2 linked regions of the Cricetulus griseus genome follow. The protein of the gene in region 2 interacts with the protein of the main gene of each other region in a pairwise test. Links are inferred from orthologs where the notes say so. Each region holds a gene or a part of one and is shown on either strand. Other genes may lie near its edges. The genes, in order: Ppm1b and Erbb3.

Region 1 (3,820 bases), on a different chromosome or scaffold from region 2:
CTCTTTTTTTTTTTGGGGGGGGGGATTATATAGACCTGGTTGGCCTCAAACTCACAGAAATAAACCTGTCTCCACAGGCATCTGTGTACTCTGGGCCCAAGAACTGAATAATATAAAGGCATTTAATGGAACAGCCAAATATCTGTAAATCTAGATTTCCTTTTTTTGCTATTTTTGCATAGAATTACAATTAAGACATTTTAAGAATTGCACAAGAAATTTTCCTAGGATCACATTTTCCGTAAGGCTTTAGACTTTTTAATCAGAGATAATAACTATCTGAAAGGAATTTCAATTACCTTCTATGTGGGTAGTGTACTAACCTTATACTGTTTACAGTTAGTGTAAACTTAGCTGATATCTTACTGACAAAAAGGAGACAACTCATTTGTTTCAGCTTTTGTCTTAGGTGCTATGAAGACAAGAATACAATTTTACTAGCTTGGCTTTTGGTGAATCTGTATTTTCTGTAACTCTTGATATTTTAATGTAAGTAACAGAATCCTACTACATACATGTTTTAAGCTGTTTCAAGTCATGAGTAAGATGGCTACTGATAACATCAAGGATGTAGATTAGAGGTCATCATTCTACACATTCAGAATTATCAAGAAGCCATAAAACAAGCTTAATAAATTTGAGATAATTGTTGTCACTTTTCAAATTAGAAGGGTGGGGCAGATAAAGTTGACAAAAAGGTTTAATTTTCTTGAAAGAAGTTTATGAAAATACACAATTCTCTACAGAAAATAGTAAGAGGTCTAAAATTTTAAGTTTACTTCAGTTTACTTACCATTTCTTTTAAATCAATAGTGTTAGTTGAAACAAAAAAGTTTACATACCTTATGTAAACAAGTGTCCACTACCCAATTGCACACATTCTCCAGGTCCTCAGCGACCTTAAGCCTAGACTTAACAAATTCACAGAGATCCTCATTACTCATCACATCCCAGATCCCATCACAAGCCAAAACGACAAATTCATCCTCTTCTGCTCTTAAAATCTCATACACCTCAGGCTCTGGAGAGACAAGCTGTTCTGTTGGGCCCTTGCCATCCACACACTTGTAGTCATAGTCCCCCAGAGCACGAGATACCGCTAATGAACCATTCACTCGCTGTATCATCACACTGCCTCCTGCATTTTGGATTCGCTCCTTTTCCATCGGATTACAAGGTTTGTGATCCCGGGTAGAAAAGCAGACTTCTCCATTCCTACACAGGACAGCTCGTGAGTCACCACAGTTGATAAAGTAGATATGTGTAGGTGAAATCAGAACGCCCACTGCCGTCGAACCGCTCCTGTCCATCCCATTTCTGAGGTCTGAAAAGTTACGCATATATTCATCAATTTCCAAAAAGCCAGTCCTGATACCAGTCTTAACATTTTCCACTGAGGGCTCAAGAGCAGAGCCTGGTGTGCCAGCTGCCCTGAAGTCTTCATTAGTAGTGATGTGTTCCAATAAATGCGCTGAGCAGTAATTTGCTACTCGGGATCCAGCATGACCATCATAAACTGCAAAAAATGACCAGTCTTCCAAGCCGTGAGGAATACCCACAACAGCTGTGTGCGCATCTTCCATTTCCACTCTCCATCCTTGCATGCTGCTCAGGCCGTATCGCAAACCATTCCCAGCACCATGAGCATTGTGTTTTTCCGTTTTGGGTTTATCCAAAAATGCACCCATGTTTAGTAATGAATCTGAAAGAGAAAATAAATGGTGTTCAATGTTTAAATTTGACATAGCTTATCTACAGTGCTCCATTTATTCTGGACCAACTCATCTCCTATATATTTTCCATATTAGCTGACTTGTGGGGTAACAACATTAGTTCCCTGACACTCTTCTTAATGGTTTCTTTATTTTTATTTTATGTGCACTGATTGGTGTTTCATCTGGGTGTATGTCTGGGTGAGGGCGTCAGAGCCTATAGAACTGGAGTTACAGAGCTACAGCAAATGTTCTTAAACACTGAGCCATCTCTCCAGCTCCTAAGACATTGCTATTTCCCCCCTCATATTTTTGCTTGTTTGAGACAGGGTTTCTCTGTATAACAGCTCTGGCTGTCCTGGAACTTGCTCTGTGGCCCAGGCTGGCCTAGAACTCATAGAGACCTGCTTGCCTCTGCCTCCTGAGTGCTGGGATAAAAGGAGTGCATCACCGATGACTGGCTAATACACTGATTTTAAACCCAGCACATGACAGAATCTAACCAATTAAATCAGAATCTCTGCAGGTAGATCAAGACATCAGTGGGTTTTTGTTGTTTGTCTGACTGTCTCTGTCACTCTGGAACTCGCTATGTAGACCAGGCTGGCATAGAATTCACAGAGAAAAATCCACTTGCCCCTGCCTACCGAGTGCTGGAATTAAAAGTGTGAACTACCATACACAGCCCGAAATCCCTGCACTGGGAAATAAAAGCAAGAGGATTAAGAGTTCAAGGCCACAAAGGAATTCCACAACAGCCACAGCTGTTACACAGAAAAAACAAATCTGGAAAAAACCAACCGAGTTCAAGGCCAGCTTGGGCTACAAGTCTACAAAAACTAAACAATGTTCAGCAGCCAACCAGAATTTCCTAGAGAAAACTGAGAAATACAATTCGGTAAGACTTTTTTTTTTTTTTTTAATTCAGCTGGGCACCTTAGATACTCCTGAAATCCCAGGCACTTATGAGGCTGAGGCAGAGAGAGCAAGAGTCCTCTCAAAACAAACCAACCAGCTCCCAAGCAAGCGCCCCCAAACCAGCTACTTACTGTTCCCTGAAGCAGTGACTTACAACCTGCCTTTGCCTCATAAGTACCGCCCCACCACAAATAATTTTTTTCATAAAGTCCAAACTGACCTTATTTTAAAGCTGGGTGTTACTGTAAGAATTTGCTTTTTAGCAGGGCAGTGGTGGCACACGCCTTTAATCCTAGCACTCGGGAGGCAGAGGCAGGCAGATCTCTGTTGAGTTTGAGACCAGTCTGATCTATAAGAGCTAGTTCCAGGACAGCCTCCAAAGCCACAGAGAAACCCTGTTTCAAAAACACAAAAACAAAAAAAATTGCCTTTTAAGAGCATTATAGAGCTCCACTATCACTTTCTGTATGATGAGCACACATGTGGCTTCCACCATAAAGTTTTTCCAGGCCAGGAAAGCTTTCTTTCTCATCCCAGAATCGTCATCCCAGAATCGTCTATCCAGAGTGGGCAAGACCTCTAGTTTGCAATTAGTGTTCCTTATAGTTCAACCATATTCTTGTACAACTTAGTTTTACACACTTCTCAAGTTAGTATGCTTTACTTCTGGGGAAGTACTTTCATTTTTCTGACCAAATCAATACTTGAATGATTGTAAAAAGTTTAAATGAACTTTTGAAAAGTGTACTAGGCATTGATACTTTAAGTGACAATTATTAGGACAAATTACAGATTTAGGCCAGGCGGTGATGGCACATGCCTTTAATCCCAGCACTTGGGAGGCAGAGGCAGGCACATCTCTGTGAGTTTGAGGCCAGCCTGGTCTAAAGAGCTAGTTCTAGGACAGCCAGGGCTACACACACACACACACACACACACACACACACACACACACACACACACACACACACACCCACCCACCAAAAAAAAAAAAAAAAAAAAAAAACCCTGACTTAAAAAACTGTTGGTTAAAAAAAGAAAAAGAAAAGAATATAATGCACCTGGAAAGATGGCTCCGCAGAGTTTTATTTCCAGAAACTATAGAACTCCAGTTCTAAGGGATCTAACACCCTTTTCTGGCCCCTGTCAGGACCAGGCACCCACGAAGCTACATGCATGCATGCAAGCAA
Region 2 (3,820 bases):
TCTTTTCATGTTAATCTTTTGCCAAAATCCTTCTCCCATTTTTCTGACGTCTTCTCCCCGCTTCTCCAGGCTTCCGTGAGTCATTCACCTTGTGGACAGTTCCAAAGACACCAGAGCCCAGCACTTTAAGCTTCCTCAGCTCTGTCTCTTTGAAGATTCTAGCCAAGACTTTGTTTGCCTTCTCGCTGGGGTCCAGAGGCTCGATGCTCTGAGGAGCAAATAGGAAGGAGACACTTAGAAAAGCCTACTCCCACAAGCCCACTCCCACCTGCCCCCCACAGGTGGACGCCAAGGGCAGCAGAGCCCAGAGCTGAGGGCAGGAAGAAAGACAGTCTTTAGTCCTGGAAAGTAATGTAGTTTCATTGAGGAACAACAGGTCCTTCAAGGAACAACAGGACTGAGGAAACTGTGCTGATGAGAAGAACCCAGAGGTTTGCCGGGCAGTGGTGGTGCACGCCTTTAATCCCAGCACTTGGGAGGCAGAGGCAGGCAGATCTTGAGTTCGAAACCAGCCTGGTCTACAAGAGAAGAACCCAGAAGCTTGGTTTCCCTCTGAGCAGCATGAGGGGAGGAGATACAGTTGTACTCCAACTTGAAGACCTCTCACACAAGGCTGGTTCTTGTTGTTTATCCCTCTCTCCCCTCACTCTAAGATGAGGGCTTGCTGTATAGGTCAGACTGGCTTGCCCTGCCCCGGCCTTCTAAGTTCTGGAGTTACCACCATGTTCCAAAACATCTGTCGAGCAAGCTCTCCCCACACCACTCTAACCCATCAGCCCTTATATCTACCCATCAGACATAAACGATGAATATGAATGTTTATATCTAAGTTACATAAACTGAGGCACAGACAAGGAAAGCAGTTCCTTCAAAGTCATGGCAAATGGCAAGAGCAAGATGACAATACATGTTCCCACTTCTGGTGTGGACTGGTGTGTACATCTATGTACATGTGTGTTTCTGGGATTGGACAGGTCTTCGCATATGTTGAGCAAGCATCCATCACTCTACACTGTCCTCTTAAAGAAAGGGACTATATTCTAGGGAAAGAGAAGAGGAGTAGCATCCATGTCCTACCACTTACCCCAGGAGCAGATTGTAAGGGTGTCTCCCAAAGTCAAGCTAATACTTACCTCACCCCGTTCCAAGTAGCGCCTCATCGCTCTTTTATTCTGAATCCTACGTCCACGCCAATAGAGAAAAACGACTCCCAGAATCAGAAGAGCCACGGGCAGTCCGACCATCCCAGCCATTGCCAGATGGGTTTTGCTATGGGATATAGAAAAGACCAGCATCCTAAGTTTACAGCAGCTTCACAAATGTCACTTATATGGTATACATCTGAGTTAGCATTCACCTCTACAAATATCCATGAGCACTGAAGGAGTCAGCCTAAATATGAGACTTCTAAGCTAGTGTAAGCTAATTTTAGGAAGGGAATGCCGGAAGCCATGATTCTTGAGTCCAGTGATGGTGGAATATATATATATATATATATAAATTAAAGAATGACCCTAGTGGACGGTTCAGCTCGTGCACACGCGCGCGCACACACACATATGGGTTACACTAAATGGACTCAGGATTATTAATAGTGATAGTAAAAAGGAGGACAGGAAATCAGGAAGGGGACACGCTAAGGGCATTAGGGGGACCTAGTGGGAGATAATGGTGGATTGGTATGATCAAAATACATTATATAAATGTACTAAATTTCCAAAGAATAGGTAACAAAAAGGCCGGGCAGTGGTGGCGCATGCCTTTAATGTCAACACTCGGGAGGCAGAGGCAGGCGGATCTCTTGAGTTCGAGACCAGCCTGGTCTACAAGAGCTAGTTCCAGGACAGCCTCCAAAGCCACAGCAAAACCCTGTCTGGAAAAACAAAAACAAAACAAAACAAAACAAAAAGAATAAGTAACAAATATTATTTAAAGGGTGGTAGTGAGGGGGGTTTAGAGAGATGGCTCAGAGGTTAGAAGCACTGGCCGATCCTGCAGAGGACCTGGGTTCAGTTCCCAACACCCAAATGGTGGTTCACAACCACCTTTAATTCCAGTTCCAGGGGATCTGACAACCTCTTCTGAGTCACACAAATACATGTAATTAAAAATAAAAAAGTTGAGCCCGGCTTTGGTGGCGCACACCTTTAATCCCAGCACTCGGGAGGCAGAAGCAGGTGGATCTCTGTGAGTTCGAGGCCAGCCTTGTCTCCAGAGCGAGTGCCAGGATAGGCTCCAAAGCTACACAGAGAAAACCTGTCTTGAAAAACCAATAAATAAATAAATAAATAAAATAAGACTTTATCTTAAAAAAAAAAAAAAAAGGCAGGGGTAGCAGGGAAGAGACTGGAAAGATGGTTCAGCTGTTAGGAGCACTTTCAGAGGACTCAGGTTTGGTTCCCAGAAGCTACATCATAGTTCATAACCATATATAACTCCGGATCCAGGGGACTCCAGTGCTATCTGCTGGCCTTCCCCAACACCAGGCCCACATGGTACACACACACACACCTTCAGGCATTACTCACACATATAAAAATAAAAAATAATTATTTTAAAAGGCAGATGTAGTGATACACACCTTTAATCCCAGTATTAGGGAGGCAGAGGCAGGTGGATCTCTGAGTTATAGGCCTGTCTGGTCTACATAACAAGTTTTGTGCCAGCCAGCACAAAAAGCAAAATCAACAAAAAATATAAAAAATAGCGGCTGGAGAGATGGCTCAGAGGTTAAGAGCACTGGTTGTTCTTTTCAGAGGTCCTGAGTTCAATTCCCAGCAACCACATGGTGGCTCACAACCATCTGTAATGAGATGTGGTGCCCTCTTCTGGCCTGCCAGCACACATGCAGGCAGAACACTGTATACAAAATAAATACATAAATCTTAAAATATATACATATAATAAGTTTTAAAACAAGGGCAGAATGGGACACTGGAGAGCATTGGCTGCCCTTGTGGAGGACCTGAGTTCGAGTCCCAGCACCTACTCGATGACTCACAAGCATCCATAATTCCAGTTCCAAGATATCCCATGCCCTCTTCTGGCATCCAAGGAGACTAGGCAAACAAGTCACGCAAAGATATACATGCAGATAAAACCATACACATAACATTTTTCAAAAGGCAGAATGAGTCAGGCAGTGGTGGTGCACACCTTTGATCCCAGCCCCCCCCCCCAAAAAAAAAGCAGAATGAATAGCAGTCTTTCTCCCAAATATTCCTGGGTTCCACAATCTCCAAGTTCATCTTACCTCATTAATGCCTCTGTTTGGCCTAAACAGTCTTGTAGTTCTGGTCCCTTACACCTAGAAAAGAAAACCACCTTATTAGTGGGTAGACAATAGAGGTTTGGGCCAACAAGGTGGCTCAGCAGTAAAGGTCCTTGCTGCCAAGCCTGAGGACCTGAGTTTGATCCCTGGAAACCATATAAGGGAAGGAGAGAGTCAACTTCCTTAAGTTGTCATTTGATCTCCATACACACACCATAGCACACATGCACACACTGTGCCCATATACACAATAAATATTTATAAAGTAATTGTTTTTACATGCAACTCCTATAAAAGTAATTTTTTAAAAGATTTTATTTATTATGTATGCAGTCTTCTGCCTGCATGCCGGCAGAGGGCACCAGATCTCATTCAAGGTGGTTGTGAGCCACCATGTGGTTGCTGGGAATTGAACTCAGGACCTCTGGAAGAACAGTCAGTGCTCTTAACCTCTGAGCCATCTCTCCAGCCCTAAAAGTAATTTTTTAAGAGACAATAGAGACTCAGGTCCAAGAACCTCTACATATAAAAGCTTCTTTCAGAACAAAC

What was found.
Region 1: the proteins of Erbb3 (region 2) and Ppm1b interact in a two-hybrid assay, tested with the Homo sapiens proteins (2 studies listed by BioGRID and IntAct, with this or other methods). The link is inferred for Cricetulus griseus from reciprocal best matches to the Homo sapiens genes ERBB3 and PPM1B.

The regions. Positions count from the first base shown.
Region 1 is NC_048598.1:86,591,916-86,595,735, reverse strand, and holds part of Ppm1b (protein phosphatase 1B), read right to left. Parts: intron 1,703-3,820; 5' UTR 1,689-1,702; coding exon 843-1,688; intron 1-842.
Region 2 is NW_023276806.1:129,330,518-129,334,337, reverse strand, and holds part of Erbb3 (receptor tyrosine-protein kinase erbB-3), read right to left. Parts: intron 3,308-3,820; coding exon 3,254-3,307; intron 1,270-3,253; coding exon 1,134-1,269; intron 209-1,133; coding exon 89-208; intron 1-88. UniProt on the Homo sapiens protein: Tyrosine-protein kinase that plays an essential role as cell surface receptor for neuregulins.